3 linked regions of the Callithrix jacchus genome follow. The protein of the gene in region 3 interacts with the protein of the main gene of each other region in a pairwise test. Links are inferred from orthologs where the notes say so. Each region holds a gene or a part of one and is shown on either strand. Other genes may lie near its edges. The genes, in order: LMO1, ARID5A and SOX5.

What was found.
Region 1: the proteins of SOX5 (region 3) and LMO1 interact in binary tests that used the Homo sapiens proteins (3 or more experiments, as listed by UniProt). The two-hybrid records come from large-scale screens. The link is inferred for Callithrix jacchus from reciprocal best matches to the Homo sapiens genes SOX5 and LMO1.
Region 2: the proteins of SOX5 (region 3) and ARID5A interact in a two-hybrid assay, tested with the Homo sapiens proteins (2 studies listed by BioGRID and IntAct). The two-hybrid records come from large-scale screens. The link is inferred for Callithrix jacchus from reciprocal best matches to the Homo sapiens genes SOX5 and ARID5A.

Annotation. Positions count from the first base shown.
Region 1 is NC_133511.1:74,088,903-74,099,167, forward strand, and holds part of LMO1 (rhombotin-1), read right to left. Parts: intron 5,124-10,265; coding exon 4,910-5,123; intron 1,704-4,909; coding exon 1,578-1,703; intron 1-1,577. UniProt on the Homo sapiens protein: May be involved in gene regulation within neural lineage cells potentially by direct DNA binding or by binding to other transcription factors.
Region 2 is NC_133515.1:6,492,459-6,502,522, reverse strand, and holds part of ARID5A (AT-rich interactive domain-containing protein 5A), read right to left. Parts: exon of another isoform or gene 4,723-10,064; intron 4,717-4,722; coding exon 4,601-4,716; intron 3,817-4,600; exon of another isoform or gene 3,604-3,816; intron 2,781-3,603; coding exon 2,636-2,780; intron 2,345-2,635; coding exon 2,283-2,344; intron 1,926-2,282; coding exon 1,828-1,925; intron 1,550-1,827; coding exon 1,390-1,549; intron 1,014-1,389; coding exon 1-1,013. UniProt on the Homo sapiens protein: DNA-binding protein that may regulate transcription and act as a repressor by binding to AT-rich stretches in the promoter region of target genes.
Region 3 is NC_133510.1:47,538,691-47,548,955, reverse strand, and holds part of SOX5 (transcription factor SOX-5), read right to left. Parts: intron 6,875-10,265; coding exon 6,702-6,874; intron 4,388-6,701; exon of another isoform or gene 4,242-4,387; intron 918-4,241; coding exon 849-917; intron 1-848.

The sequences.
Region 1 (10,265 bases), on a different chromosome or scaffold from region 3:
CAGAGAGGGAGAAAGGGAAAGACAGACAAACAGAAAAAGAACAAGAGGGGAGAGAGATGGAGAAAGGCAGAGATGGAAAGGTAAGGAGGGAGGGATAGGATGGATGCTTTTCCATCCCTCTATCCCTCTCCCCAGTTTAAGAGGATGGCTTAATACAGGACATTCTTCCTCTAAACAAAATCGGTGGTTACCTGGAGCATCCTTCTAGGAGATGACCCTGTTCCACTATCTCCTCTCCTACCCAAGGAAGGCCCTTCTTTGGTCTCCTAGTCCTCCCCAAGTACTGGAAGATTCCAGTCCTTTCCCCAAAGATGTTCCCAGGGTGGGTGAAGCCCTTAGGGAGACCCCAAGATTGCTGGCCTAGTTCCAGCAGATCCCAGTCCAACCGCCAGGTGGCGCTGTAAGTTCACTGAGCCCTCCTAGCGGCAGGTCTGGCCAAGGCCCCCAGTCAGACCAGCGTTCCCTGTAGGTCCATCTGAACCTCACTTCCTACCTGAGCTGGGAGCTCCTGAGAAAAGCACCTGCCTTCTGGTTCTAGGCCCCCCAGGGCCTCCCACAGGGCTAGGGCACAGATTTGGGGCCAACAGATCAGAAAAGAGGCTGGGCTGGAACCAGAATCGCAAGGGTGGGGTCAGGAGAGAGTGGCCACTCCCTGAGGGGACTTTGCCCTCCAGATTTGGGAATCCCTTCTCACTGGAACATACATGCACACATAGACACACACCACACACTGGGTACAGGGGCATGAGGATACATTAGCCCATGTACATGCACTTTTAAAACAGGTATACAGGCCAGGGGCAGTGGGTCACACCTGGAATCCCAGCCCTTTGGGAGGATCGCCTGAGGTCAGGAGTTTGAGACCAGCCTGGCCAACGTGGTGAAACCCCATCTCTACTAAAAATGCAAAAAAAAAAAAAAAATTAGCTGGGTGTGGTAGCACGCGCCTGTTGTCCAAGCTACTAAGGAGGCTGAGGCAGGAAAATCACTTGAACCGGGTAGCGGAGGCTGCCATGGGCCAAGATTCTGAGATCATGTCACTGCACTCCAGCCTGGGCAACAGAGTGAGACTATCTCAAAAAAAAAAAAAAACAAAACATGTAAACACATGTATACTCACCTCATCGTGCACACACATTGCACAAACACACACACACACCCAGACATTTAAAAACACATGTATATCTGCATTTCACAGACATTTGAAAACATGTATACAGCTGCCTATTAATTCCATCATGCACATGTGCCCACTTGCACGTAACACATAAATACACATGCATGCACATGCATGCTCACTATGTATACACAGTAAACTCAGGCACACCTCCATTACATTCACACAAAAATGTGCCACACAGATGTGCACATCCAGTATTCGAGTGCACACATTTGGCTACCGAGCTTACACACACATACAACACATAAAGCACATGCACTCATAACCTGCACACAGCGTCACATACACACATGCAAGCTGCCTGTGCATGCACGTCCCCACTGTGCTCCTGGCCCACCCCAGCAGGCTTCAGGCTGGCGTCTCGGGAGTGTGTTGGGTCTGCCAGCCCAGCACTGACCTCTGGTTGCAGAGCTGGCAGGCGAAGCAGTCGAGGTGATACACGTTGTCCCGGGCCCGCATCACCATCTCAAAGGCTGGGATCAGCTTGCTGCAAGCAGCACAGTTCCCTGTGGTGCCAAAGAGCCTGCAGAGGGAAGGGCACAGAGGTCTCAGCAGCATTCTGGGGAACTGGGTGGGCAGGGGAAAGGACCCTCCATCCAGGGTCCTTCCCATCCTCCAGCTTGTGGGCTCGGCAGGTGGGCTCATGAAAGGGGGTAAGAGCACCGAGGGCAGCATCTATATTCTGCCCAGAGATCTGGCTTCCAAGAAATGGGCATATTCCCCTCCAGCGAGGGTATGTAGGTGGTCAGGAGTTGGCTGTAACTGCCCATCCCAAGGCTCCCTCCCAGGCTCCCACAAGGGTCCTCAAGCCCTGGAGCCACCAAGAGAATCCTAGGCTGGGCCTTGAACAAGGGCTCCAGACCCACACAAGCCTGAATTTCAGGGACAGATGGTGGATCCTGGGCTGAGTGTCCTCAGGCAAGTCAGTGAGTCTCTCTGAGCCTCATTTACCTCATCTGTTGAAGTCCAAAACACACCCTTCATGGGGTGCTTGTGAAACCCCTTGTAAATTCTCAGTCACAGCTCACTAAGCAACCACCTAGGCAGTGTTCACTATGTGTCAGTCACTGTTCTAAGATCTTTACAAAGATTAACTCTTCATCCTCGCAACAAACATAGGAGGTGATACTATTATTATTCCCCATTTTAAAGGTTTAAAAAATGAGTCACAGAGAGAACAGCTTGCACAAGGCCTTGCTCCAGAAGGTGTGCCCTAAACCACTGTGTGATGTTTTTCCTACCATTAACATTATAGTGTTTTTTATTTTATTTTTTAAAAATAGGATGGGGGTCTCACTATGTTGGCCAGGCTGTTCTCGAACACCTGGCCTCAAGTGATCCTCTTGCCTCAACCTCACAAAGTGCTGGGACTACAAGTGTGAGCCACTGTGCCCTGCCAAAATTAAAGTGTTTTATTAGATCATTTTTCCATGACAAACTCACTGTGTCACTTGCCTAAGTCTCTTTTTTTCCTTTCTCTGAACCTCAGTTTATCCTTCTGTAAAATAGGGATGAATGATCGTATTCAAAGATGCTGTAAATCAGAACTGATGCCCAAAGGAAGCTCCAAGGACATCTGGCACAAATGCCTCTTTGAGGCAGGCATCCCTCCTCTTAGCTCCTGGCTCTAAAGCTCTAGGGACAGGAAGTTTACTCTGTCCCCATGCAGGCCAACCCTTGGCTGGATGTCCCAATGGTCTGAGCCACCCTGGCTCCTCCTTGCTTCTTTCCTGCACAGGGATGGAGCAAGCCCCAAGTGAGGCAAGGAGGCTGAGAAGTGGGTGGGAAGCCCCTCTAATCCCCGATTTGTCCAGCTCAAGCTCAGGCACCTGCAGATGAACTTGGCTCCATTATTCATCAGCTTGAGCTGCCTGGTGGCTCAGATTAAGGCAGACAAAGGCTGGGCCACAGCATCTGCCTGCCAAGAGGGGCTTTTCTTGCCATCAGCCCAATGAATAGGGCCGCAGAGGGCGCAGGCTCTGGAAAGCCATTCTGCAGGGCTGAGCAGCTCAAGGAAGCCACGCTCCCATCCCAGCCCACTGGCTTCGCTGGCCCTACAGTCATTCCTTGCCTCTGCCAGAGCAAAAAAAAATTACCTCTGTCCCTAGTAGCTGCTAGGGCCCTGGATGCTTGTGGGTGCATTTTCCTGACAAGTGCCTACTGCACTGTGGACCTCCCCCTCCAAGTCCTGTAGAACCATCCCATGGTCTGCCACGTTGTCCTACCCTGGAAGGTTTGTTCCCAGGTGATGCCCTAAACCTCCAGACATGGAGGCCTCTTCTAGGTCCTCAAGGGGTGAATTCCCAGGAACATTCTTTCTTTTCTTTTTTCTTCTGAGATAGGGTCTCACTCTGTCACCCAAACTGGAGTGCAGTGGCACGATCACAGCTCACTGCAGCTTCAAACTGCTGGGCTCAAGCAATCCTCCCACCTCGGCCTCCTGAGTAGCTGGGATTACAGGTGTGCAGCTATTACACCTGGCTTCTTTTTTTTTTTTTTTTTTTGTAGAAATGGGGTTTCACCATGTTACCCAGGGTTGGTCTCAAACACCTGAGCTCAAGTAATCCGCCTGCCTCGGCCTCTCAAAGTGCTGGAATTATAGGCATGAGCCACCATGCCTAGCCTGAACATTCTTCTTTAACCCCTGCTCCTGGCTTCAGCCTCTCCGCTCCAGCCCTAGCCAGGAGCACCAAGTCACAGATCCTGTTTTACTGCATCACCTTTAAATGCCGGTGTTAAAGAGAAGGTGCAGGCAGGTCAGTCAAAGGATCTTTGGGGAAGTGGAGGAGCTTCCACTGATAACCTCCCTTTTGCAACATGCCCAGACATGGGCAGAGAGAGCCCCATGAAGCCCTTGCCCTGACCTGTTAATTAATGCTATGGGCCCTCCTTCCCCACAAGCCCAGCCACCATCCAGCAGCCTGCGACAGAGCCAAATGCAGGTGCTGGGTCTCAGCCAAGGCCCTGCTTTGTGGCCTCCTTCCAGCCTTGCTGATGTCACAAATGGCCTCAGGGAGGGTTAATTGGGGGAGGCAGCCCCAGGGAATAGGATCCAGGTTGTGGGGAGGGTGAGTGAGAGCTCAGAGGAATGAAAGGCAGGGAAGTCTCGTTCTTTCACCCTTTATGGGGGTGGGGAGTAGTCAACCGAGGCTGGGAGAAGGTTAGGAGCCAAAGGCTCAGAGCCAGTTCCAACCCAGGTCTTCAAGCTCCAGCAGCAGTGGCCTTGCTCCCAGGATATGGCTACCTGCCAGGATCTCTGGGCAAATGGATGCCTGCTCCCAAGGACCACCTGGAAAGGAAGGTTGGGCACTGGGAGATGGGTCAGAAGGAGACTCCATCAGGGAGGAGGGGCCCAGGGAAGTCAGAGCTTCCAACCTGCTTCTCAAAGCCCCTCTAAGGTATCCCCTCCCAGATTCCAAAACAGGTGGGTCAGAAGCACCTGGCCAAGGCAGAGGCAGAGGCAGGCTGGGCCTTAGGAAGCTTAACTCAGGGGCCCAGGGTTACACATGCCTGCCCTGGACCTGTGTTGAGCACTGAGTCCATGGATATAGAGACCTGGCCTGCCCTCAGGCAACTTCTCAGACAGCTGGGGTAAGCAGCGCAGGGGCAGGACATTCAAGAATGAGGCACACACAGGGTACTGGTGGAGGGCCAGGGGCATAGTCACAATGGGGCTGAGGATGGGGGTTTTCTGAGCAGGACAACGGCTCAGGGGCGGGGGGGGCCCACCTCAGGTAGTCGCGTCGGCACAGGATGAGGTTGGCCTTGGTGTAGAGGGTGGAGCCCACCTCGCCCAGGCGGCAGTCGCAGCAGGCACACTTGAGACAGTCTTCGTGCCAGTACTTGTCTAATGCCTTCAGCAGGTAGCGGTCCTTGATCTTGCGGTTACAGCCTGCACAGCCCTTCTGCTTCCCTTTGGGCTGGACGGACAGCATTGGCACACCTGCAGATGGACAGAGAGACAGCAATGCCAGATGGGCCCTGTAGCTCTGGGCCTCAAGCAATATCCCCCAAGAATGGGGAGCTCACTGCTTTCTGCTGCCTCCTCTAGGTTTGGGGCTCCCAGGAGCCCTTACTTTCTCCCCAATAACCTCCTCCCCTGGCTCTGGGTCCTGCCCTTTGGGCTGCATGGCACAGCCTGTTCCCCTGGCCCTGTGAAGGTCCCTATGGAGGCTGATCTGCTCCAAGGCACACACAGACCCCAGGCCTGGCCTCCCTGAGCTGTTCCTCCCAACCCGGGCCTCTATCCCCTGTGCAGTCTGATCCAGAGTAAGCCTGAAGCCTCCCCTTGCAAGGCCACCATCACATCCGCTCTTCTAGCAATGAGCCTAAGAAATGTGGTCTCCTCAGGCCCGTGAGGTTCACTAGAACCCCCAGATCTTTTTGCCAACTTGTCTTTCTCAAACTGATAGGCTACAGCCTCTTGTGCTAACCATGTAGAACTGTGGTGGCGTCATGAAGGAAGTGAGATGCCCCTAGAACACTCCCAGGAGGGGACAGCGGCTCTGGGGGTCCTGGCAGGTAAGAGGATGCAGCTGGTGGGGCCTGGCCGGGGCTCCCCTTGGGGACACTTCAGGTGGTGTCATACCTCACCCGTTCTGGCTTGGGGGAGGGCAGGCTCTGAGCCTCTGGATCCTCCCTCATTCTACCAGGATTAGGATCTCTCAGGCATCAGCCCCTCCCAGGGCCCATACCAGCTTCCCAACATACACGCAAGCCCCAAGCACAAAGGGCAGAAGACCAGCATGAGGTTTACCACGGGGCAGAGCCTCCCGTCTCACAGGCAAGCACGTGTGCTCACACACACCCCTCACGCGCAGGCATGCTATGCAGGTGTAGGCACGAAGTGACAGAGGCACAGGTTCCCAGTCCCTCCTCCTGAGACCACAGTGACAGCTGAGAAGTATAGTAGCCTGACAGATGTATAGTAGCCTGGACATCCATGTGGCTCTGTGAGGCTTGGAGGGAGGTGCAGAGAGTCTCAGAAGCCCTGCTCTGTGACTTTGCAGGGCGGGAGCCTGTGGGACTTGCCTGAGAACCCTCGTGAAGACAGGGAGGGTGTGCATGCTCTGTCCCTGACTCAGGTGCAGCTGAGTTGGGGAGCGGGCTCTGGGCCGGCCCCTCCGGCTTTCCAGCACTCCCCCGGAGTCTGTCCTCCCACTGGCCCCATCCTCTCCAAAGGACCCCAGCTCTCTCCAGGGCTCTGGCCTTCCTCCCATCCCCTGGTGTCCCTCCCAGTCCCTACCCTCTCACTGCCCCCAGCCTGCAGTGTGAGCACTTGGGCCGCTTCTCTTCCTTTTACTTCCCTCCTCCTCGGGCATCAGGGGACAACCAACCACAAGACGCCTTGGTATCAGAATCCACAGATGTAAGGTCAGGAGAACCCTTAGAGTTCTTCCAGTCAAATGCTCTCATTCTACAGATGGGGAAACAGGCTCAGTTACAGGGCCTTGAGTCAGCACTGGTCAAGCAGCCCCAGGGCTCCTTCCCCTCTCCTGTGCTCACTCTCAGCCTAGCTGCCTCCTCAGACTTCTCCTGGACAGATGAGCCTGGGGAGCAGGCACCCACCCACAGGCTGCAGGGCGCAGGGCCAGTGGCCCCTCCTCCTCCCTCCAGGCCCCACAGGGCCTGCCTGTTAGCTGGGAAGTGTGCTGCCTAATTTCCTTAATGCAGCTCTAAAGGTTAATTGGTCTGAGAGTGGGATGGGGCACAGGATGGCTGTTCTCAGGCTTGCCTGTGTCTCCTCCAGCAGGGCCCAGCCTGGCACACAGCTCTGAAAGAGCCCAAGGAGGGCAGCTGGGGAGCAGGTACCCCCGAGAGCTGAACAAGTCCTGGCCTACAGGGAGGTGTGGGGAAATGGGGCAGGGGTTAAAATAGCTGATGGGGAAATGAGGGGGCTCCCAGGGTAGGACCTGGACCAGGGTGGGGCTCCAAGGGCAGGGCCTTGTCCCTAGGCCCCATGCAGGGATTGCGCCTCCAGCAGAGATACACATACAAAACCAGCTTGGAAAATGCCGGACCAGGCCCCTGATACAGCCCCTAGAAGGCTGATGTTCCTTTGCTCAGCCCAGCTCACTGCAGGCCTGGCTCCCTTCCCAGTGGCCCTGAGCCCCTCCCAGGGCCCTAGGCTTGGGCTATTACCAGAAGGTGGGTAATGGCTGGAGCATCCGCACTCGAGAGACTCTAGCTCTCTAAATTACAGCCCAAAATGAAGGGAGACCATGAGAGACCCCAGCACTTGAAGCACCTGCCCCACCCTCTCTTCCATTGCCCTGGCTCTTAGACAAGCTGGTCTTCCAAGCTGGGCCCCCAGTGTGTTTTCCTGGCCCCCGCAGGGCTGTGAACTACAGCACTAGCCCACAGTCTCTCCATTGGAGAGACGGGGCATCCTGAGGACCCTGTGGAGCCATGAGGGGCGAAGCTGCCAGCTGCCTCAGGCCCCTCCCTGCTGCCTATGCCCAGGCTGGCCCCTGCACAGGCAGGTTACCTTAAGACCTGGACACCCCTCTTCTGGGGTGCCAAACTGACTGCTGGGCTCTGGAGAACTCTTAAAGAAGCCACACAAGCAGGCTGGGCAGTGACTCAGGCCTATAATCCCAGCACTTTGGGAGGTCAAGGCAGGTAGATCACGAGGTCAGGAGTTCAAGACCAGCCTGAACAACATGGAGAAACCCCATCTCTACTAAAAATGCAAAAAATTAGCCAGGTGTGGTGGCACGTGCCTGTAATCCCAGCTACTTCTAGGGAGGCTGAGACAGGAGAATAGCTTGAACCCCGGAGGTGGAGCTCGAGGTGAGCTAAGATAGCACCATTGCATTCCAGTCTGGGCAACAAGAGCAAAACTCCATCTCAAAAAAAAAAAGAAGCCACACAGTTTCCGCCAAAGTGTCCCAGGTCCACCGAGACATGGAACACCAGGGTCAGCCTGGTGGAGGCCCCAGAGTGTCTAGAGACCTCCTGGTGAGAAAGGCTGGTGTCCTGGGGGAAGCCTGAGCCATGGCGGCCCAGTGGGATAGGGTTGGGACCAGACTGCAGGTTTGCAGTCCTGGGGCTGTGGGTCCAGAGTATAACTCCCTAGTCTCTCTGGGCCTAAGTTCCTTCATCGGCCCATAAGAAACATTGAAACAATCCCCTGCTTCTTACAGGTGGTCTGGGGGTCAAACAAAACAGTGGAGACACCCTCCCTCATGGGACACCCATGCTGTGTCTGCACTCACCGGCTGGCCACTGAGACTTAAAACACTCCTGGAAAGCGGGAGGGGCTTTCAGGCGGGGCTCTGCAGTCCGCTCCCCAGATGGAGGGATAAGCTCCCCACAGGGTCTGGGCCCTCCCTCATGCCCTGCCTCCCCCGGTTGCCACCTAGCCCCCCAGTCAGTCCGCCAGCCTGCCCCTGCGGATACCTCTTCCCTCCCTCCTTCCTCAGCCTGGCTCTGGGACCTGAGCCTCAGGCCATGCACTTTCCATTAAGGAGATAGCATCCCTTTGCTGAAGTCCATTTGGGATCCATTTTAGTGTTATCTAAAAATCAAATCTACATGGTAATCCTTTTAATGTACTCCTGACTTTAGAAAAAAAAACCGCTTTGCGCTCCTTCAGGAAAGGTTTTAAAGCATTACCCAGTAATTACTACTCACCCATGAAAACACTGATATTTTACAATGGCTGATGTTTGCACCGACGCGCACGCCTGGGCACATACTCAGATGCATGTGCTGCGTCCAGCAGAATAAACCAGCCCAATCAACTCAGGGTCACCCCTAAGTCTCAGGATGTGGGGGGAATGACATTCGAGGGAAGACAGGCCGAACTCCAACCCCTACCTCTAGCAGGAGGCAGGGCTGCTGGAGGAAGGGGGCAGCCAGGCTCAGAGAGAAGCCTCCCAGTCTGACTCATCTGGCTGCCAGACACTCACCCTCAGCTCTTTAATCTGGGGAAGAGACAGACACTCCAGGTGACAGGGAGGGAATGCTAGAGGTCATCCCGCCCCTCCCACTCTCTCCCTCCAGCTGAGAGGAGAAACGCCCTGGTCTTCACATGGACCCCAGAGTAGTCCACTGGGCCAGACCCAAGTCCCCAGTGACTCTTGCCCACCTGTCCCAGCCCAGCTGCCCCTCAGCTCCAGCATGTGGACTTTTCCAAACTGCCAAGCCCACAGGCTCCTACTCCGGCTTGGATGGCAGCCTGGGGGACACCTACCCCAGTGAGCTCCTCCAAGGCCAGTCTTCCAGCCCAGAATGTCAACCTCACCCAGCCCCAGGTCACTCCAGGCTCTGCCCTGCAGATCCCCTGCTGGGAGCTACTGTGGCCACCCCCGGCAACTCCACGGGGCATCTGCGGCCCCTGCCACACACCAGTGTGTTCTGCTGGGCACTGCTGGCCCTGCTTCCCACAGGATCCTGGAAAACAGCTCCCCTCCCTCCCACAAATGGATCTTGTTTGCTTCTGTCCGAGGCCTTCACTCTGCTACTGCTCCAGGAAGAAACGCCTTTGTCCTGCCCATCCCCACTCTCCTCAAAAGGTCAGAGTCGAGAGCGTGGCTGAGGCTAAGAGTTCAGACCTTGAAATCACAGAGCCTAGTTTCAAGTCTGGGAACTGCTCCATGGTGCTGGAGGCCTGGATTGAAGCCCCCACCTTCCGGCTTTAATGTGTGTACTGGGGGCCATAGTGGTCTCTTTCCAGTAAGAGTGTGCTAAGGATAGAATGAGATTATGCGCATCAACCCAGGGCGCAGTGAACAGGAGCTGACCGTAGTATTAGCCCTTACCCAGGATCCCATCCCTGCTCAGACACTTGCTTTGTCTTTTTTTTTTTTTTTAATTATTATACTTTAAATTCTGGGTACATGCGCAGATTGTGCAGGATTCTTAGATAAGTATACACACTCCATAGTGGTTTGCTGCCTCCATCCCCCCATCATCTACATTAGATATTTCTCCTAATCTTTTTTTTTTTTTTTTTTTTTTCTGAGATGGTGTCTTGCTCTGTTGCCAGGCTGGAGCACAGTGGCACAGTCTCAGCTCACTGCAACCTCTGCCTCCCAGGTTCAAGCGATCCTTCTGCCTCAGCCTCCCAAGTAGCTGGGAC
Region 2 (10,064 bases), on a different chromosome or scaffold from region 3:
GGGCTAAAGGGGAGTGCAGCCTGGCCCTTCAAGGGGTCCAGGGTGCCAGCGAAGTTCAGCGGGCAGTGCAGCATAGTACCCTTGTAGGCCTCTGGGGGCATAGGCCCCAGGGCTGGGCCCAGCAGGCAGGAGACCAGGCCAGATCCTGCAAGTTTGGCTCCACACTTCTTGGCATCCGCCTCCTTAAGAAAGGGAGACACAGCCCGCAGTCTCTTCCCACTGTGGGCAGCACCCTCTTCCTCCAGGCTGCGCTTGCTGCCAAGGCCTGGGCTACCGAGGAAGGTGGATGGGGGCGCGGGGCTCTTGGCCGGGACCTTGGCCATGGGAGATACCCAGCAGGCTTTTGGCTTGGGGTAGAGGCTGCCTTTTCTGGAGCCACCTTTGTGGAATGCAGAAGGGTGGTTGGCGTCCCCACCCCACACCAGCTGGGGCTCTTTCACTGACAGCCCCTCTTTGCCAGAAGGCCCCAATAGCACCCCATCTTTAAGTCTGGAGAAGAAGTCCCTGGGGTGCTGGCTGACAGGCTTCAGCACTTCAGTGGGGTGGGTGTGGAAGCAGCCTGTGAAGATGGGGGCTGCCGGGCAAGGTCTCGCCTGTACCTCCTCCCCGAGGCTACCACCTGGGGCCTGCAGTCCCTCCTGAGGGGTCAGCTGGTGCCTGGAGTTCTCAGCCAGCCCTTTGGGGCTCTGAGGACTCTCTGGGGGGTGAACAGCTGGGGATGCCTGGGGGTCTGCCCCATGGCGACAGCCCTCCTCCTGGCACTGCAAGGCCTCCACCTTGCTCACCTGGGCCAGGAGCTTCTTTTTGGCCAGTGGTGACATGATGCCATGTGTCCCCTTGCAGTAGAAGCTGGATAGGAGCCGTTTGTAGGCCTCAGGGCAGCCGCTGGCACCCACAAAGGACATAGAAGATGCAGAGGCCGGGCTCTGCTGTTCTGTGCTGTTTCTGGGGGACTCCTGGCTAGGAAGAGGTGCTGGGTTATCGACATCTGCTTTGGTGTTTCCTGGCATCATCTGCAATGAGAGAAAGCCATGCCTCAGGGCTGCATGACCTGTGCATCCCGACCTGGGGAGCAGGAGGAGGCACTTTCAGTCCTGCCTATATCCCCTGCTAGCCTCTACAGTGCCTCTGTGCAGAATTTTCCAAAGGTGCCCTGTCCTGTGAGTGGACACAGCCTCGAGTCAGGACACAGGGCCTGGTGGGTGGGCGGAGGCTGGAGTTCAGAGGCCACTTGCACAACCGTCTGTGGAGAACCTGGAACCCTGCAAGTCCTGACCTGGGTGCAGTTTCTGTGTGTTCTGAGCAGACAGCCCTGTGGCTGCAGGGAGTTGTGGGGTGGGGACTGCAAGAGGCAGGGGACAGGGTGGCTCCAGCCAGCTGTAGGCCTACCTGGTCCACGTGCCGCTCCTCCTTGGCCTTCTTCAGCCTCTCAGTGGCCCCATCATCCCCCCTGTTCTCCTTGGCCATCTTGTATTGTTTCCTGGGCTTGGAGGTGGGCAGCGGCTTGTCATCCTCCCCCTTCAGGTGCCGCACGTATGGCAGGACCAGCCTGGGGAGGAGCCAAGCATGTCCCCCAGGAGGCCGGCTCCCATTCCCTCCACGGGCCTCTGCGACTTCCTCTAAGCGACAAGGAAGGCCCTCTCCTGGCCCCAAAGCTTCAGCTCCCTAGGTGATTGCGCCCAGCCAGCTTGGCCTCCTGCAGTGCTAAAAGCTAAGGACGGCGCACACACCTCCTGTTCCGGGCAGAGTCCACCTGGCACTCCCAGCACGCTCGGCCAAGGCCCCGGAGGGCAGGTGGCCTCTAGCACCCGGCCCACCCCACTATACCTCTCGTAGTGGCGGCGTGTGCACGTGGCTGCGCTGGTGCTACCCGGGCTGCCCCCCAGCTCGTCATACACGTTCTTCCAGAGGCGGCGCCCGGTCACCTGCAAGGGCACCTAGTGAGGGTGCAGCTGGTGGGCGCCCCCTGGCAGCGGGATCCTTGCCGCTCTGGCCCCCTTCGCAGGGACCCGGCAAGGACTGCAGTTTGGCAGCTGCCCTGCAGCTCCAGCAGCGGCTGGCCCATTCTCCCTCCCAGGGCCAAAGACTGCTGGCCCAAGCAGTTTTCCCAACACAGGTTAGGCAGGACAGATGGGGAAGGCTGGAAAAGCTGCTTTGAGCAGCAGAGTACCAGCGGGGGAGGTGGGGAGGCAGGGGCAGGACAGGGGATCCTGGCTCTTCCTCTGTCCAGAGGCTGCAGGCTCACCCCAAGAAGATGGAGTTTGGTAAGGATTGGGAGGTACCTGCCTTACCAGCTCATAGGCCCCCAGTTTCTCCACTGCCTTGTAGATCTTCCACAGGTTAACTGGGGGAGAGAGGGGCAGGCCAGCAGTCAGTCTCTCTGGGAAGTGGGGGCAGCCTGCCACCCCTTCCTAGCACCCTGTCAGACGGGCACAGACCAGCACACACCAGCCAGGGCCACTGCAACGAACAGGCAGGCTATGCCCTGTGCACTGCTGGCCCAGTGGCAGCCTGGAGGGAAGCCTCCTTTCTATCTGCAACCTGGGTCACCCAGAATGGGAGTGCCTGCCCGATGCCCTGCCTGGGTGGGGTCCCCTGCTGGGCCCCCCTCCCTGCCTGCACCCCAGGAACGCACTCTGCTTGAAGCCAAGATGGGGCACCCTCTCGATGGGTGTGTGTCGCTCCTTCATGAACTTGTAGAGGCTGACCAGGAAGGCCTGCTCCTCCTCCCGCTCCTGCTCCTGCTCCTCCTCCCGCTCCCCGCCTGCCTCGGGGGAGTCCTGGGGAGAGAACAGGAGGCATTGGGATGGGCCCCAGTTGGTGGCTGGCTGCTGAGGATGTGCAGAAACCACTGGTTGCAGGAGGAATAAAGTACCTGCCCCAACCCCAGTTTCCCAGAGAGCACCCAGCCACTATTCTGGGACAGAGTGACTGTTCCTGGGTTCGGCAGGCACAGGTGTCAGTTTTCAGTGCCCCAGGACAGGGGCTGGAGTCCAGGACCTCCCCAGAGCAGCTGGCTCCAGAGGCCAAGGGAGCAGTCCCCAGCCTTCTCCATGCCAGGGTCACTTCTCTGTCTTGCTCTTGATTTATCATATATGTGTCAGCTCCTCTGTCAGACTAGGAGCTCCTGGAGGGCAGGGCTCAGTGTCCCTGGGGCCCTCCTGAGGGAAAAGCTGAAGGAACAGAGGTGCTTGGTGCTTTCTGGCACTGTGGGGTCACTCTGTCAGGCCCACATTCCCAGAGCCTCTACATGGCCCCAGCCTGCCATGCTGAGCACAGGGAGGTGAAGCTCTGGGCCTCTACTGCACACTGTCAGGGACACAGGACTTTTGTTGTGGGTCCCAGAGGGGCAATCTCTGCTGATGCCATTCATCCAGCAAGTGGCTCAGAATAGAGGGGTACAGTGGGTTGGGGCTGAAAGCCCAGGACCCATACCCTGGCACAAGGTAGTCTCCTACTTAGAGAACAGACAGCTTCCAGAACACAAACCATCTGGACTAGAACAGTGCAGAGAGCCATGTGTTCTAAAAATATTTTATCCAGCTGGGCACGTGGCTCACATCTGTAATCCCAGAACTTTGGGAGGCTAGATGGGCACATCACCTGAGGTCAGGAGTTCGAGACAAGCTTGGCCAACATGGAGAAACCCCATCTGTACTAAAAATATAAAAATTAGCCAGGCCTGGTGGTGCCTGCCTATAATCCCAGCTACTCGGGAGGCTGAGGCAGAAGAATCGCTTGAATCCAGAAGGCAGAGGTTGCAGTGAGCCAAGATCGTGCCACTGCACTCCAGCCTGGGTAACAGCGAGACTCTGTCTAAAAAAAAAAAAAAAAAAAAATTAAATAAATAGATTCAAGTTTATTTCAGTGTTATTACTATTTTTTTAGTTGTAAATAGCTTCTATAATAGTTCAGTGTTTTTAAGGTATTAAAGACCTCTAAGAAGAAACAACATACAAACTCATGTCACCTATGAAATCGTAGCATGCTGGGGCCCGGGGATGATCTGTGCAGACCTCAGAAGGAAGGCTCACTCTCAACTGCTCAAGTGAATCTGCTCCTCCAGGCCTCTATTCTGAATTCCAGGCAAGCTGCTAAAGACGACTACCATTTGCAACCACTTTTCTGCATGAATCGGGATACTTTTCCAGACTGTGCCACCAAAGTAAATGGTGGCATGAAATGAACGGAAGCTGAGCTCGACTGTGCGCCGAAAAAGCCACCTGCAACACCCCCTTCAGATTCTGTACTCATTGAAACAGCCTTGGTTGTTGGTCTCGTGGAGTGACTTTATATGCCCACGTTATGCATCGAGATGAACAGATGTGAATGTGGTTTTACAATATGGGCTGGAACTTTTGTCTGTTTTATGGATGGATCAGGGTGGTGGGTCATCTTCATTTGAAAAAAGGGTTCTGCTACAAAAACCAAGATTGAAACTCTCTGCCACAGATGACAAGTGAGTCCCCTGGCTGCCAGGCAGGGCTGGGACAGGAACATGTCTCAATTCCTGAGAGCTTGGGGAGTGTCCAGGTTTACCCGGAGGCTAAGCACAGGTGAAGGTGGCAGGGAAGAGTGCTCAGGGAGTCAGCCAACTCACCTCCAGCAGGATGGGGTTCTGGCTCCTGTTCTGCTCACCAGCAGGTTTGGGAGATGCAGGTGGGTCTAGGGCATCACCCTCTGTGGACTGCTTCCTGTTCCCTTTGACAGGGGCTGCTGCAAGGAGAGAGGGAAGAGGGAAGGAAGGAGGAAGAGGTGGGGAGAGAGCACATGAGATGCAGGCAGGGAGGAACAGCAATCTCCCCAAGTCCAATCAGAGTTGCCAGAGGGTGCTGGTGGTGCAGGGGCTAACACCTGTGATCCCAGCACTCTGGGGGGCCCAAGCAGGCCATTGCCTGAGGTCAGGAGTTCGAGACCTGCCTGGCTAACATAGAGACCCTGTCTCTATTTAAAAAAAAAAAAAAAAAAAGAATTGGCCGGGGGTGGGAAGGGGCATGTCCCTAGCTGCACACAGGCTATCCTGCACACATGGGCACGCACACGCACACACACACACACACACACACACACACACACCCCTCGCCACTCCCCAACCCACTGCATCCGCTCCACACCCCTTTTCTTTCCTCTGCTCCAGCTATCTCCCCACATCTTTGAAGGAAACGCAAAACCACCTTGAGGTCAAGTCAGAGGAGGCTGGGGTTGGGCTGTGGTGCTTGGGGAAATCCTGTCTCCAAAAACCATGCTCAGACACAGAGTTCCGAAGCAACTCAGCCTCACTGGAGAGCTAAAGGATCCCATGGATGTGGCCTCAAGGCACCACAGGGGGTCCCTGGGTAGTAGTTCCTCCAGGCATACTAGGGAACATCTGACCTTTCCCTGAGAATCTGCAGAGTTCTAACTGCTCTAATTAGGCCACATGTTCCCCTCACCTGCAGGAGTCCTGGTGGCCCCTCAGGTCTCTGCTGACAAGTGTCTTTCTCTAGGTGGCCTCCTCCGGCCCCTGGCCACAGACATCTCCTCCATTGCCCTCGGCTACTCACAGTTATCCTGGCATCCTGGCTTAACTGCCTGTGGCTCCCAGGGCTCCTTGATAGCTCAGTGAGGCTTCCCATGCCCCACACGGCAGGTGCCAAGCTGGAATGAGCAAGGCTCACACCAACCCTGAGTAGTGGGCAGGAGAAGCCATGGCCTCTATTTTACTAAGAGCCACCATGTGCTGATGGTTTCAAAAATGCAACACCTCCACCACTGCAAAAAACACAAGCATTGGAAACTGCCTCAGGCCACATGGCAGGCTGGCAGCAGATACCAGACCAGGAACCCATGTCTGACAACCTTTTCTTTCTGTCCTTTTGTTAATTGAGTATGAACTGTCCTGTACTCTTGGTTCACTTCAGCCCAGAAAATCCTTATTGTTGGGAATCTGTGAGATTTCCCTTCCATCCCAGAGAGAAAAAGAATCTCCTTGGGAACAAGAAACCCATACTAGCATGAACCAGGGGCCAGTAGTACTCAGAGGCACGGGGTAGAAGACTTGGCCACTGAGTGGTCCCACTTCGATAGGTGTTCATGTCTTGCCTCCATGTTGATGGTTGCTGACTGATCAGGGTGATGGTGTCTGGGGCTGGGGTGACTGTGGCAATTTCTTAAAAATAAGATGACAGTGAAATCTGCCATATTCATTAACTCTTCCCCCCTTCACCATTTTTTTTTTTTTTGAGACTGAGTCTCGGTCTTTTGCCCAGACTGGAGTGCAGTGTTGTGACCTTGGCTCAGGGCAACCTCTGCCTCCCTGGTTCAAGCGATTCTTCTGCCTCAGCTTCCAAAATAGGTGGGACTACAGGCATATGCCACCACACAGGTAATTTTTGTATTTTTAGTTGAGACGGGGTTTCACCATATTGGCCAGGCTGGTCTCGAACTCCTGACCTCATGATCCACCCAACTCGGCCTCCCAAAGTGCTGGGATTACAGGCATGAGCCACTGCACCCGGCAACTCTTCCTTTCATGAAGGATTTCTCTGTGGCATGTGATGCTGCTTGACAGCATTTTATCCATAGCAAAACTTCTTTCAAAACTGACGTCCATCCTCTAAAACCCTGCTGCTGCTTTATCAATTAAGTTTATGTAACATTCTAAACCCTTTGTTGTCATTTTGACAATGTTCACAGCATCTTTGCCAGGAGTAGATTCCACCTCAAGAAGCCACTTTAGGATGAGCACGGTGGCTCATGCCTGTAATCCCAGCCAGCACTTTGGGAGGCCAAGGTGGGTAGATAACCTGAGGTTAGGAGTTTGAGACCAGACAGGCCAACATGGCAAAACCCTGTCTCTACTAAAAACACAATAATTGGCCGGGTATGGTGGCAGGTGCCAGTAGTCCCAGCTACTTGGGAGGCTGAGGCAGGAGAATCCCTTGAACCCAGGAGGTGGAGGCTGTAGTGAGCTGAGATTGCACCACTGCACTCTAGCCTGGGTGATGAAGCAAGACTCTGTATAAAAAAAAAAAAAAAAGCCACTTTCTTTGCCCATCCATAAAAGCAACTCTTCATCCATACAAGTTTGATCATGAGATTGCGGAAATTCAGTCTCATCCTCAAGCTGTACTTCTAACTCTAGTTCTCTTGCTTGTTCTACCACATCTGCAGTGAGTTCTCCACTCAAGTCTTGAACCCCCTGAAGTCATCCATGAAGACTGGAATCACCTTCTTCCAAATGCTTGGATATTTTGACCTCCCACAAATCACAAATGTTCCTTAAATGCTCTCCAGAGGTTTTCAATGTACTTTGCCCAGATCCATCAGAGGAATCACTATTTATGGCAGCTATAGCCTTACAAAATGTATTTCTTCAATAGTAAGACTTGAAACTTGAAATTACTTCTTGATCCTTGGCTGCAGAATGGATGCTGTGCTTGCAGGCATGAAAACATGTATCTCCTTGCACATTTCATCACAGCTCTTGGGTGACCAGTCGCCTTGTCAATGAGCAGCAATATTTTGAAAGGAATGTTTTTTCTGAGTGGTAGGTTTCAACAGTAAGCTTAAAATACTTAGTAAACCATGCCATAAACAAATGTGCTATCATCTGGGCTTTGTTATTACATCTTTATCACAGGCTGAGTAGATTTAGCATAATTCTTCAAGGCTCTAGGGTTTTTGGAATGATAAATGAGTAACTTAAAGCCACCAGCTGCATTAGCCCCTAACAAGAGAGTCAGCCAATCTTTTGAAGCCAAGCGTTGACTTCTCCTTAGCTATGAAAGTCCTAGATGACATCTTCTGATACAAAGCTATTTCATCTACATGGAAAATCTGTGGTTAGCATGGCCACCTTCATCAACGATCTTAGCTGGATCTTCTGGATAAATTGCTGCAGCTTCTACATCAGCACTGGTTGCTTCACCTTGCACTTTTATGTGATGGGAGATAGCATCTTTCCTTAAATCTCATGAATCAATCTCTGCTAGCTTCCAACTTTTCTTCTGCACCTCTCTCAGCCTTCACAGAATTGGAGATTTGGAGCCTTGGTCAGGATTAGGCTTTGGCTTTAGAGAATGTTACGGCTTATATCCAGACCTCTCAAACTTTCTCCATTATCAGCAATAAGGCTGTTTCACTTTCTTACCGTGTGTGTTCACTGGAATAGCACTTCTGATTTCCTTCAATAACTTTTCCTTGGCATTCACAACTTGGCAAACTGGTGTAAGAGGCCTAGCTTTCAGCTTATCTGGGCTTTTGACCCGCCTTCCTCACTAAGCTTAATCGTTTCCAGTTTTTTATTTAAAGATAAAGACCTGTAACTCTTCCTTTCATTTTAACACCTAGAGGCCATTGTAGGATTGTTAATTGACCCAGTTTCAATACTGTTGTGCCTTAGGCAATGGGGAGGCCACAGAAGAGAAAGAGGAATAGAGATGGGGAATGGCTGGTCGCTGAAGCAGGTGGAACAAACTACATTTAGCAATTTCGTTCACTTTATGGGTGGAGTTCATGGTACCCCAAAACAATGACAACAGTCATGAAAGATCACTGATCACCATAACAGATATAATAATAATGAAAAAGTGGCCGGGCGCAGTGGCTCAAGCCTGTAATCCCAGCACTTTGGGAGGCCGAGGCGGGAGGATCACGAGGTCAAAAGATCGAGACCATCTTGGTCAACCTGGTGAAACCCCGTCTCTACTAAAAATACAAAAAATTAGCTGGTCATGGTGGCACGTGCCTGTAATCCCAGATACTCAGGAGGCTGAGGCAGGAGAATTGCCTGAACCCAGGAGGCAGAGGTTGCGGTGAGCTGAGATTGCGCCATTGCACTCCAGCCTGGGTAACAAGAGTGAAACTCCGTCTCAAAAAAAAAAAAAAAAAAAAATAATAATAATAATAATGAAAAAGTGTGAAATGTTGTAAGAGTCACCAAAATGTGACATTGAGACACAAAGTGAGCACATGCTGTTGAAAAAAATGGCATCGATAGACTCGTTTGATGCAGGGTTGCCACAAATCTTCAATGAGTAAAAAAAGGAGTATCTGTGAAGTACAATAAAGCAAAGCACAAAAGAGCAAGGTGTGCTTGTACATTTTCTCCCTCAGTCCTAGAGGAATTCCATTTTAAAGAGGGGATATCTGAAGCCATAATGGTTTTGGTTAAGTCACTTGCCTCTCTGGGGCACCAGGATTCAAATCAAGGTCTGATTCTGGCCCAGTGGCCGCTGTGGTTACCAACATTGGCAAAGCCGGACTCAGGAAGAGTCCAAGTAAGCCTGGAGAGAAACCAATCCTAAGGCTTGGCAAAGAGAAGGAGACCAGGCCCTCCCTCTTGGGCTGGCTTCTGACACACCGGTCTCCAGAAATCCTAGCTACTAACAAGTGACCCATCAGACTGATGCCTTTCCAAGTCCTCTGTGACTCTGTGACTCAGTCTTCCCTGCTGGGAAATGGGAGAGGAAGATCCTCGAGTTTTTTGCTAGCTATCGTGAATTCCTGAAGTATTCCAGGTCTAGGAGCACCTCCTCCACTGGCTCTTCTCCCCCTGCCTACCACTCTCAGCTCACACATCCCTCCCCTCATTCCTGCCACCCCAGATCCTCAGCACTGAAGGACTCTCTCCATATCTTCCTTGGTGTGACAGGGGCTTCTCAGTTACAGACTTCCTATGTGACCCTGGCAAGTTGCTGCCCCTTGGGAGAAATATACGGTGGTTAGACAGGGCCCATCAGAATCACTTGGAGGAACACTTTTATTACTATTTTTTTTCCCCCCTGAGACGGAGTCTTGCTCTGTCACTCAGGCCGGAGTGCAGTTGTGCCATCTCGGCTCACTGCAACCTCCACCTCCCGGGTTCAAGCGATTCTCCTGCCTCAGCCTCTCAAGTAGCTGGGACTACAGGCACGAACCACCAAGCCCAGCTAATTTTTGTATTTTTAGCAGAGGCGGGGTTTCACTGTGTTGGCCAAGCTGGTCTCGAACTCTTGACCTCATGATCCACCTGACTCGGAGTCCCAAAGTGCTGGGATTATAGGCATGAACCACCACGGTGGAGGATCATTTTTAAAGATCTT
Region 3 (10,265 bases):
GCATACTGCAAAGCTAACAGCTGCCTCCAGATGGATGATGTTACATGGGTTGGATTCACACTTACAGGAATCAGATTCCTCGATAGTCATAGTAAGTGAGTATTGAGCATTTACTATGTGCTCGACACTGTGCTAAGGCTCTTTATCCATGATTTCCTTTAATCCTCAGGAATTTCTATGTGAAATAAGTGCTGTTCAGAAATTAAACTGTCAGAAGGGAAACAAACGTGAACTTTTGTCAAAGTTTATGACACCAGCAAGTGGTGGAAACAAGACATCACTGGAAACGTTTTTTCTTTTTGTTATCAATACAGCGACTTCATTCTGTATTGACGCCCCTTATTATTGCAAATTTCCATATAATAAAAATATGGAGGTCCTACGGCCTTCAGCCTTGTTTTCTCCAAGCAAAACCACGGGTAAATTGACTTGAACACCAAATTATTATCGACCCTATGCTCCACCTTTATCACACATGGCTCTCGGGTATATAATAAAAAAGTTCCCTCTGGCACTCCTCTTAACTGAAAACCTAGGTACCTTTCTGCTTCGGTTCCCTGCCCCTACCCAGTTAAGAACACTTATAGACACATTTTAACAGTAACATATAAAGAAAATGAAACCTTTATCAACAATAATTTCTTCTCAGTATAAGATGAAAATAACTATTAGCTTGCTTAGATTGAAGCTCCCTGACACAATAGGGCCTGTGACTGACAAACACCATTTGCAAGATTCACATGGCAGTAATTTTTATTTTGGAGGTCATTTCAGTTAGGTATTTAAGAATAAGAAACAGAATATATATATTTTTAAATTATAAGTATATTGAAATTATGATTTCTGACCTGGATCTGTTGCTGGAGCAAATTGATTTTGTGTTGTTGCTGCAGAAGCTGCTGCTGTTGTCTTGCAATCTGCGGAGAAATTGCACATGAGAAATTTACAAGTATATTGTAGTCCCAGAGGGAAGTTACTAATGTTCTGTTTCTCTAAGTTTGATTTGACATTGAATAAGATGATGAAAATAGATGTGTCTGTGCTCCTAAACTTTTAGCAATTCATACTAAGTAAGATCAAGGAAGATATTCAATCTTTAGAAGCAGTTATGTTTCTTTTGGCCTAAAACAAATGAAGCCTAAGACACTATGACAGTGATCAACCCCAGAAAGAAATGTCTGGTTTTCAAGCATCCCTCTTCTTAGTGATACCTTAAGAAGGCGCTGCTTCTGACATTCTCAGCCTTTTTCTATAACAGTGTTTCACAAATGGGGAGGGGTAGGTTTAAGACTGAGGAGTTCAGAGTAGCACAAAGTATTGCAAGACACTGGATTTATTAGTAAAGTTTTTGGTAATTTTTTGTTTTTAGATAAATAATTTTCTCATTACTGCCTCTCACAAACCCCTAACTACCAACTCAACACATACCATTGTCGTTTCTGTTTCCATTTCTCTACCAGAATGATTCTTAAGAAGATTGTCAATCACACCCATTATTTAAAAATTCTGAAGCATTTATCAGTTCTCGCCTTTTGATGTCTCATCAGAATTCAACACTCAAATGCTTTCCTTTGATCATGAACTTTCTCTGTTGGCTTCTGTGACATCATACTTCCCTGGTTTCATTTCTACCTCTCATGTCTTTTCCTTCTTAGTCACCTTTAATGGCTCTTTCCAGCCACTAAATGTTGTAATTCTCTCAATTTTAGATTTTTGCTCTTTTCCTTCGTACTTACTTCCACACGTAAGCCAAGTACTTCTAAATTTGTTTCTCTAGCCTAGATCTTTGTTTTAATCATCAGATCCACTTATTGAGAGACTTATTCAAAGGTACCTCAAGTTCAACAGGCCCAAAACTAAATTTGAGATTTAGCCTTCCATATAGTCATCTTAAATATTTCCTAACTTAGGGAACAGCACAATGACTTCCCATACCCACTGTTGTTTGCACTTACAACACTCCCTACATTTACTTAACATTATGCCCATGCTATGACTTCATATTTGTTTATTTATTTGTTATTCACATCTTTCTGTCTCCTAAGGAGAAGTCTATAAATTCAGTGATAGTAGAGGCCATGTAAATTTTAATCACTATTCACAGGAAGTCCATTATAAAGGAATGCTGAATGGACATCTGATAAGAAGAATGCATTAATAGATGAGATGAAAATTGTAAACATTTAATCGCATGGGATAGGATGTAACTTCTAACATCTTAAAACTTATCACTGTCTTATAAATAAGTTCTAGATCTCATTCTCATCAAGTAATAATCGCCATTATTTTCATTAAAAAAAAAAATCTTAGCCTCTGTATCCAAAAGTAAAAAATACAGGAAAAAAAATGATACATCACCATGAATAAAAGTAGAGAACCCACGTGATGAGGATGAGTCTACATGGCTACACACAAAAAATTTTACCTCCTTTATGGATGTTGGTATAATTATAATTGTTTTAATACTTTAATTTTATCTTTGGACTATGGTAAAAAAAAGTTTTTTTCTTTCTTTTTTTTTTTTTTTTTTTTGAGACATAGTTTACTCTTGTTGCCCAGGCTGGAGTGCAATGGTATGATCTATGCCCACTGTAACCTCCTCCTCCCAGGTTCAAGCAATCCTCCTGCCTCAGCCTCCTGAATAGCTGGGACTACAGGTGCCCACCACCATGCCCAGCTATTTTTTTGTATTTTTACTAGAGACAGGGTTTCACCATGTTGGCCGGGCTGGTCGTGAACTCCTGACCTCAGGTGACCCACTCACCTCAGCCTCCCAAGTGCTGGGATTACAGACATGACCCACCATGCCTGACCCACAATTATTTTTCCTGAAGAAAGTGATAAAGGAGACAGTAGAAGAAGAAAGATTATCTTTTCTATTAAGTCTCATTCCTTCCTCCCACATATCAATATTTCAATTGCCATTTAAATCATTTTAATGAAACTTTCAGAATACTCCAGAACCTGACTACTTCAACCTCCTGTGCACTTTCTTCTGTTCACTGTGCCTTTGTCTGGACTGTTGTAATGGCCTCCATATGCTCTTTGTGTTTTGCTCCTGTTCCCTATAGTCTATCACAAACCAGCATCCTGAGAGTACTTCTTAAAATATAAGTCCACTTTGGGCATCCGAGTCAGGCAGATCACAAGGTCAGGAGTTCAAGACCAGCTTGGCCAACATAGTGAGACTAAAAGATTAGCCGGGCATGGTGGCAGGCACCTATATTCCCAGCTATTCAGGAGGCTGAAGCAGGAGAATCACTTGAACCTGGGGGGCGGAGGTTGTAGTGAGCATAGATTGCACCACTGCATTCCAGCCCAGGTGACAGTAAGAGACTCTGTCTCAAAAAAAGAAAAAGAAAAAAAATATATATATATATGTACACATATATATGTATATGTGTGTGTGATGTTATGCTATTCACCTCTCCAAAACTCTTTTCTCTCACTCATCAAAAAGGCCAGTGTGCATATAATGCCTTCAAGGCCCTATATGATTTGGCCTTCTTTTACCTCTGTGATTTCATATCATCTTTAATTTTTATTGTCATCCCACACCTGCCACATTGCATTCCTAACTGCCTCTTTTACATACCAAGCATGCTCCTGCCTTGAAGGATATTCCTGCTTCTGGGCCTTTGCACTTACTTTTTCCTCTGTCTGAAATACTCTGCCTAGATAGCCCCATGGCTCATTCCCATACATCCTACAGGTTTCTGCTCAAATGTTTTTAGTCAATAATGTCTTCCCTGAGCACCCATTTTAAAAGAACATAAACCCATAGATAATACCCTCATTCCCAATGCCCCGCTTAATTTTTCAACATAGTACTTACCAACATATAGTTTACAGTTTATTTATTGTCTACCCCTCTCAGCTAGATTTCAATATATGAGGGGTTTTTGTCCGTTTTATTTCCCATTCTATTCCCACTAACTAGAACAAAACCTGGCATCAAATTGGTGGTCAATGAATATTTGTCTAATTGATGAATGTGGGCTGGAGCTCAGAATCTGGAGGAAAGGCTCGTCAGTAAACAGGTCCTCTGGCATTGGTAACAGCTACATCAGGAGTATTAGAATGCACAGAATGGGAACATCTGACACTCAGTAGGGAGTGCTGGAAGGAGTATCAGAAAAAGACTTTAGAGGAGAAGATGCACCTTCCCTGACCCTTAAAGAATAAGTATTAAATGCCCTTCATGGAAGAATATGCTACCACAGAGTGGTACCTGTGCATACCTGCTATGTATGGTGGAGAAGCGCTGGGAGAGCTGAATGGGCTCTAGATACATGACCTGTGGCTATCACCCGGGATCTTCTCCCAGGCTGTGGAAGCAGCACCGCAGGACATCTCTCCTACACAGGAGAGAAATTCTTGAAGAACTTAGGGGTTTGTAAAGTTCCAAGAAGAATGTCAGCGGTCTTGGGAAACTATTAGAATCAAAGGATTCTAGAATCCTTTCATGATCTTCAGAGATGGGCCAAAATGTAAAAGAGAAAAAAAGAAACTTCCTCTCCATCAGTCATTGCTTAGATCTTTCAGGACATGTGTGCCCTCAGGCCCACCAAAGCAAATAGAGATTATCTACAAAAAATATCCCCGGCCAAGCTACATATTCGGAGACTCCTAGGATTCTCCAGAATTCAGTTGACTGAAAGATTCAGAGTTAAGGACAAGGAAAGAGTGCTGTTGTTTTATACTGTTACTGGCAAGCATTCCAAACTCTTCTATCATAGGGGTAAAGCATATGGGCCATATCCAAAAACAAGCCAAAAACATCTTTAATGAAAGTGATGAGGCACTTCATTAAAAATAAAACTAACAACTTTTAATCAGAGATAAACCATAAACCACCAAGCAGAGAAGAGTAAAAGAAAAATAGGGGGATGGAAAAAAGGAGCTCCTCAAACATAAACTGAGTATTTCTTCATGTCATTCAACCCTGCTAACTTGTACTTGGAAAGATGTTTAGAAGGTTTTTCTAGGATATGTAGACATGCAAATATTAAATAGTGGCCATCCTCCACTTGGGATGGTCTGTGGAATATGTCTAGAACATGGAACAGGAAAAGAACTTAGCCATGAAAAAGAGAGCCATACTTCTACATAAGGTGAAACTATGACACCTCCCCTCTATCATACCTTCCATTTACTACCAATTTCTTTAATAGTTCATAGGCACTGCCTCCATTTTCCTACTATGCATTTTCCAAGTCTTATTGTCTGATTTCGGCTACTAAAACACCATAGAAGCCTCACTCTTCAAGGCCGACAATGAGAATCTAAATGACAAATCTTGTTTCAATTTGATTATTAGAATGACTACTCTTCTACAGCATTTAACACTGCTCCCTATTATCTCTTAAAATCTCCATTTTGTTTCCAATACATTGCACTCCTGGCCCCACTTCCACATCTTTCTTTCTGTATATGTTCATATTCCTTTCTCTGCCAGTTATATATGCCAGTACCTCCCAAGGACCCACTTTTAGTTCCTTTCTGCTTTCTTATTACCATTGTAATTTAAGGCCTATAAGCCTGCCACACCTCTTCATAAAACACTCCTGTCCCTAATATTAACATGGCTGCCTCTTATATATCAGTTAGTTCTGAGCTTAACTGCCAAAGCTTCAGAAACATCCAGCAGCCCCATCTAAGGAGCCAATGCTCCTTGTCATAGCAACCAACATCTAACTTTTTACTGTGTTTATATTTTTTCAAATTATTTATCACTATATAATGTCATCTTGTTAATTTATCTGTTCCTTTATCTGTCTCTCTCTTTCCACTAAAATGTAGGGGCTTTATCTCTCTGGTTAACTGAGATAGCCTCAGCAATTAGTTAGTACAGTGCCTGGCACATAGGAAGCCCTGATTACTGTTTGTCAAATAAATGAATGAATGTTATCTCCTTCAGCAGTTTAAAGCACCATTTCTCTGTAAATAAGAAACAACTGAGCTCTCTTCCAAAGTACTGATTGGTATTTCTAGCTGTCTCTCACATCCCTCCAACTGGACAACCTGACAGCAACTTTAATTCAACATCATAAAACTACTTTCTTTTCCAAACTTGCTCTTCTCCTGACTGCCTCTGTTTCTACTGACGGCATTCTCAATCTCCCTATTATTAGGCTCAATGGTTTTCCTTTCCCTTTTGCCTACTCAAAGAATTCTACTAACCATAACTCGTGGACCTGTTTATTCCTTTTTTTCTCTTTGTCCATGGTTACCCGACTAATTTAGATTCTCACCCTTTTTAATTGAAAGTATTATAATAGCCTTGTAACTGAACTTCCTGTCCCCAACTGGAAACTCACTTTACTTCTTGAAGCCTACCAGTTCTTCAAAGCACATCTCAAATGTCAGCTCTCTAATAAATTCATTCAAAATGTTTCTTGTTGAAAACGTTCTCTTGACTCCCCATGGTTCTTTTTTGGTATTTTCCTCATGATTTATCAAAATTTACCTTGATTATAATTACTTCTAGCTACTTACCACCAAAGTAGTTAATAAGCATCTTAAAATCTGGGTTTTATCTGTGGGTGGGTTTTTTTTTTTTTTTTTTTTGCCTTTTAATTTATTTAACTAGGGAGGTGGAAGGGACTCTTATTCATTGTTGTGTACCCAGTACAGTGACCTATAAGTAGCAGGCAAAGCAATGTCTGAATAATTTGATTGCATCACTAGTTCTTACTCACCTGTTCTTGCTGCTGCTTGGCCAGCTCCATTTGCTGACGCTGTTTCTCAATCTGAGAGGCAGCTAGTTTCTTCTGCTCATCGTGGGCAGCCAAGAGCTGCTCTCGCAGACTGGTCAGCTGGTTGATCATACCCATGAGTTGCCTTTCTTTCTCAGCTAGGCTCTCAGGAGTCCCTAAAAATAATATGGCAATAAAACAGACAAGCTAAATCAGAAAAAGTGATTACTTCAATGAAAACGACTCTGTTGTATGCAGAGCTAGTCCAAATATAAAGTTCAATGAACACAAAAACATTACCTACCTTCTTTTAGATTTTCACTCAACAGTAAAAAGTGATGGTAATTTACTGATTACAAAGTACCACAATGAACCTGGCTCTCTGGCACAATAGACAGAACACTGGACTTCTACCAAAGTACCAGAATGAGCAAACATTTTGAATGTTTTTACATTTATGACTAGTAATAATCTATAGTTTCTGAAAAATTTTACTTTATAAGTAAATTTTAAAAATGTTAGCTGAGCATCTACTGTTTTTAATGTTCTATGCTAGAGCCTGCTGGAAATAAAACAATGTCCAAAGTATAGTTCTTGGCTTTAAATATAATAGTTTTTCATCTAAATAAAGAAGCAAGACAAAGACTTAAAAAATTAATAGCTATAGTTATTAAGAGGTCAGTGCATTAGTATTAGTGATATGATTCTTCATTTCTTAAAAAAAAAAAAAAAAAAAAAAAACAAAGATTCAGAACTAAGGAATTCTATGTTACAAGATAGCAAATATCTATTTAGCCAATCAAGTTTTAGACTGTATTCCCCATAGGCCAATTCAGAGTCTATCTTTAAAAATAAAATATAGTTAACTGAGCAAATATTTAAGTTTGAGAACACAAATATGCCAATTGTGAGACAACATGGTTGGCAAATTGGCATCATACTATCATCGCGTTAGCTTATGCATAAATCCAAGATTTGGAGAAGTCATGGTCATCATTTAATATTTTGTTCAATTTATTTAAAACATGCCAATTAATCTTATTAAGTTAAAATTTGTATTTAATATAAGGGAAATGTGTGCTGTTCACTGAAACAGAAACAGTATCACTTTTAATTGTTCTTTTCAAACTCACAATATAGACAAAGTCCCTATGATAAAGCACTACCAGTAGGAGAGAACACCCTCTTTAATTACAATTTTCACTTCAAACATAAGACACTAAGCACTATTTTACTTCTGCATTTGTCACCTGTATACATAATTAGATAGAAGGATCTGTTATAACTCAGTCACCCTTCTTAACCCCAGTGCATTTCTCCTACCAATTTAGGCTAAAAGAGTTTGTCCTATTTTAGGAAGTAGCAGCTATAGTTAGTAGCTTATAATTTTTATACACACATTTGGAGTAGAAATAAGGGTTCTAATGTATTTTACATATAGGCTAGACAACAATATCCAGAAAAGAAAATGTGTGAATAAGGCAGTAACCATTTCGCATACTCTTTCTTATTAACAATGCCTATCCTTATTCAAGGCAGATGGTCTATAATGTGCTGCTAATAATTTATTATATCTCAGATAGTTGGATTCCATTAGAATGAACATTCACTCTATGAATAATAGCCACATGACTATTATATCCTAATATTAAATAATATAAATATATCCTGAAAAGATTTTCTTACTGAAAATATTCATATGCTAGCAAGATAAACATCTTCCTACATTGTTAGTAGAGCAGTAAATTTCTACCACATTTCAAGAAATACACACTAGGAATAGCAATACACATGTCTTAGAATGCACATAACCTACAAAGGATAATTCTGCTTTTAGAAATTTAGCCCAAGCCTGGGTGCAGGAGCTTATGCCTATAATTCCAATGTTTTGGGAGATCCAGCAGAAGGATTGTTTGAGGCCAAGAGTTCAAGATCAGCCTGGAAAACACAGCAAGACTCTTATCTCTACACAATTTTTTTTTTTAATTAGTTGAGCATGGTGGTGTGCTCCTGTCATCCTAGCTACTGGAAGGCTGAGGTGGGAGGATCACTTGAACTCAGGAATTGTATTTCACCTCAACATGGGAAAGGATAACTTAAAAGCTTAAGCAAATCAGTGCATATTCAACACCTACAACTGGTCCTGCAGAATCCAATTAAGTCAGCCCTCTACAGAAGGGTTTCACATTCTGTGAATACTACGTTTTGGATCTGTGTTTAGCTGGGAAAATAAAACCACATATAAGTGGACCTGTGGAATTCTAACCTGTACTGTTCAAGAGTCAACTGTATATATTTGGTGATGAGAATTAACAAATATCATTTTGTCATTAAGTATATGAAAGTTTAACAAAATATTTTTTTGTTTTCACTTAGTCATAAAGAAGTAAATAAGATTTATTTCAAACTTAAAATTTCTAATTTTATAGTCCACATTCATTTCAAACTTTTTGAACCTTCAGCCCACCTTGTCGCATCTTAAGCATTTTCATATGACTTCCCGGACACAATTTCATTCTATTTCAACTCCTACTTAGCTAACCTTTTCTTCTCAATCTTTTTCCCTAACTCCTCGTCTGCCACCCATAAATGCCCATACTCTTCCCAGTCCCATTCTTTATATTTTCTGGCCTTGAACTAACATGTTTTAACCTCTAAGCACTATATTTCAGCAATGCTTTGCATATTTTAACCTACTGAGTTCTAAAACACATAGTCTCATAGTCAATGAAATAATATAGGTGCCAACCCTAAGATTGTCCCCCAGCCCTAGTAACCAATATTTAGATGCAGCATAGGGTATCTCTGAGGGTGTATTTCAGTCATAAAATTCAACAAGCATAGAGTAAAACTCACCATTTTCCTGTAATTTTAAAGCATTATCACCAATCAGCATTCTAAAATACTTAAGAACATCTTCAATTTCCTTAGCAACTACCCATCCCTACATTGGTCATATTAACTAATCACAGTAATTTTTTCTCAAAATAGGTTTGTTTTTCCTTTAATTTTAATTAAAATTATATTTTTCAATATTCTGTTCATATTAGTAAATTATGATGATGAAGAAATATAGTAAAAGATCTCCAACACTGTCCCTTCAAAAGTAACCATTACTATTATTCTTTTGTGTGTCTTTTTCTTGTTAACACAGACTTATGCATATACAATAACATTTCTCTATCAGTTTGCCAGGGCTACCATAAAAAAGTACCACAGACTGGGTGGTTTAAACAACAGAAATTGCCTTACAGTTCTGGATGCTAGAAGTCTAAGATTAAGTTGTTGGCAGGGTTCATCTGTTCCAGGACTCTTTCCTTGGCTTGTAGGTGTCTGTCTTCTGTGTTCACATTGTCTCAGTCTGTACATATCTATGTCCAAATTTCCTCTTCTTATAAGGATACCAGTCATCTTGGATTAGGACCCACCATAATAAGCTCATTTTAATTTAATACCCTTTGTAAAGATTGTATCTTCAAAGATGTTCATATTCTTAGATTCTAGGCATTAGGACTTCAACATGTGAATTAGGGTTGGTAGGCAGGGGGAAGGTGCACAGATCAGCCC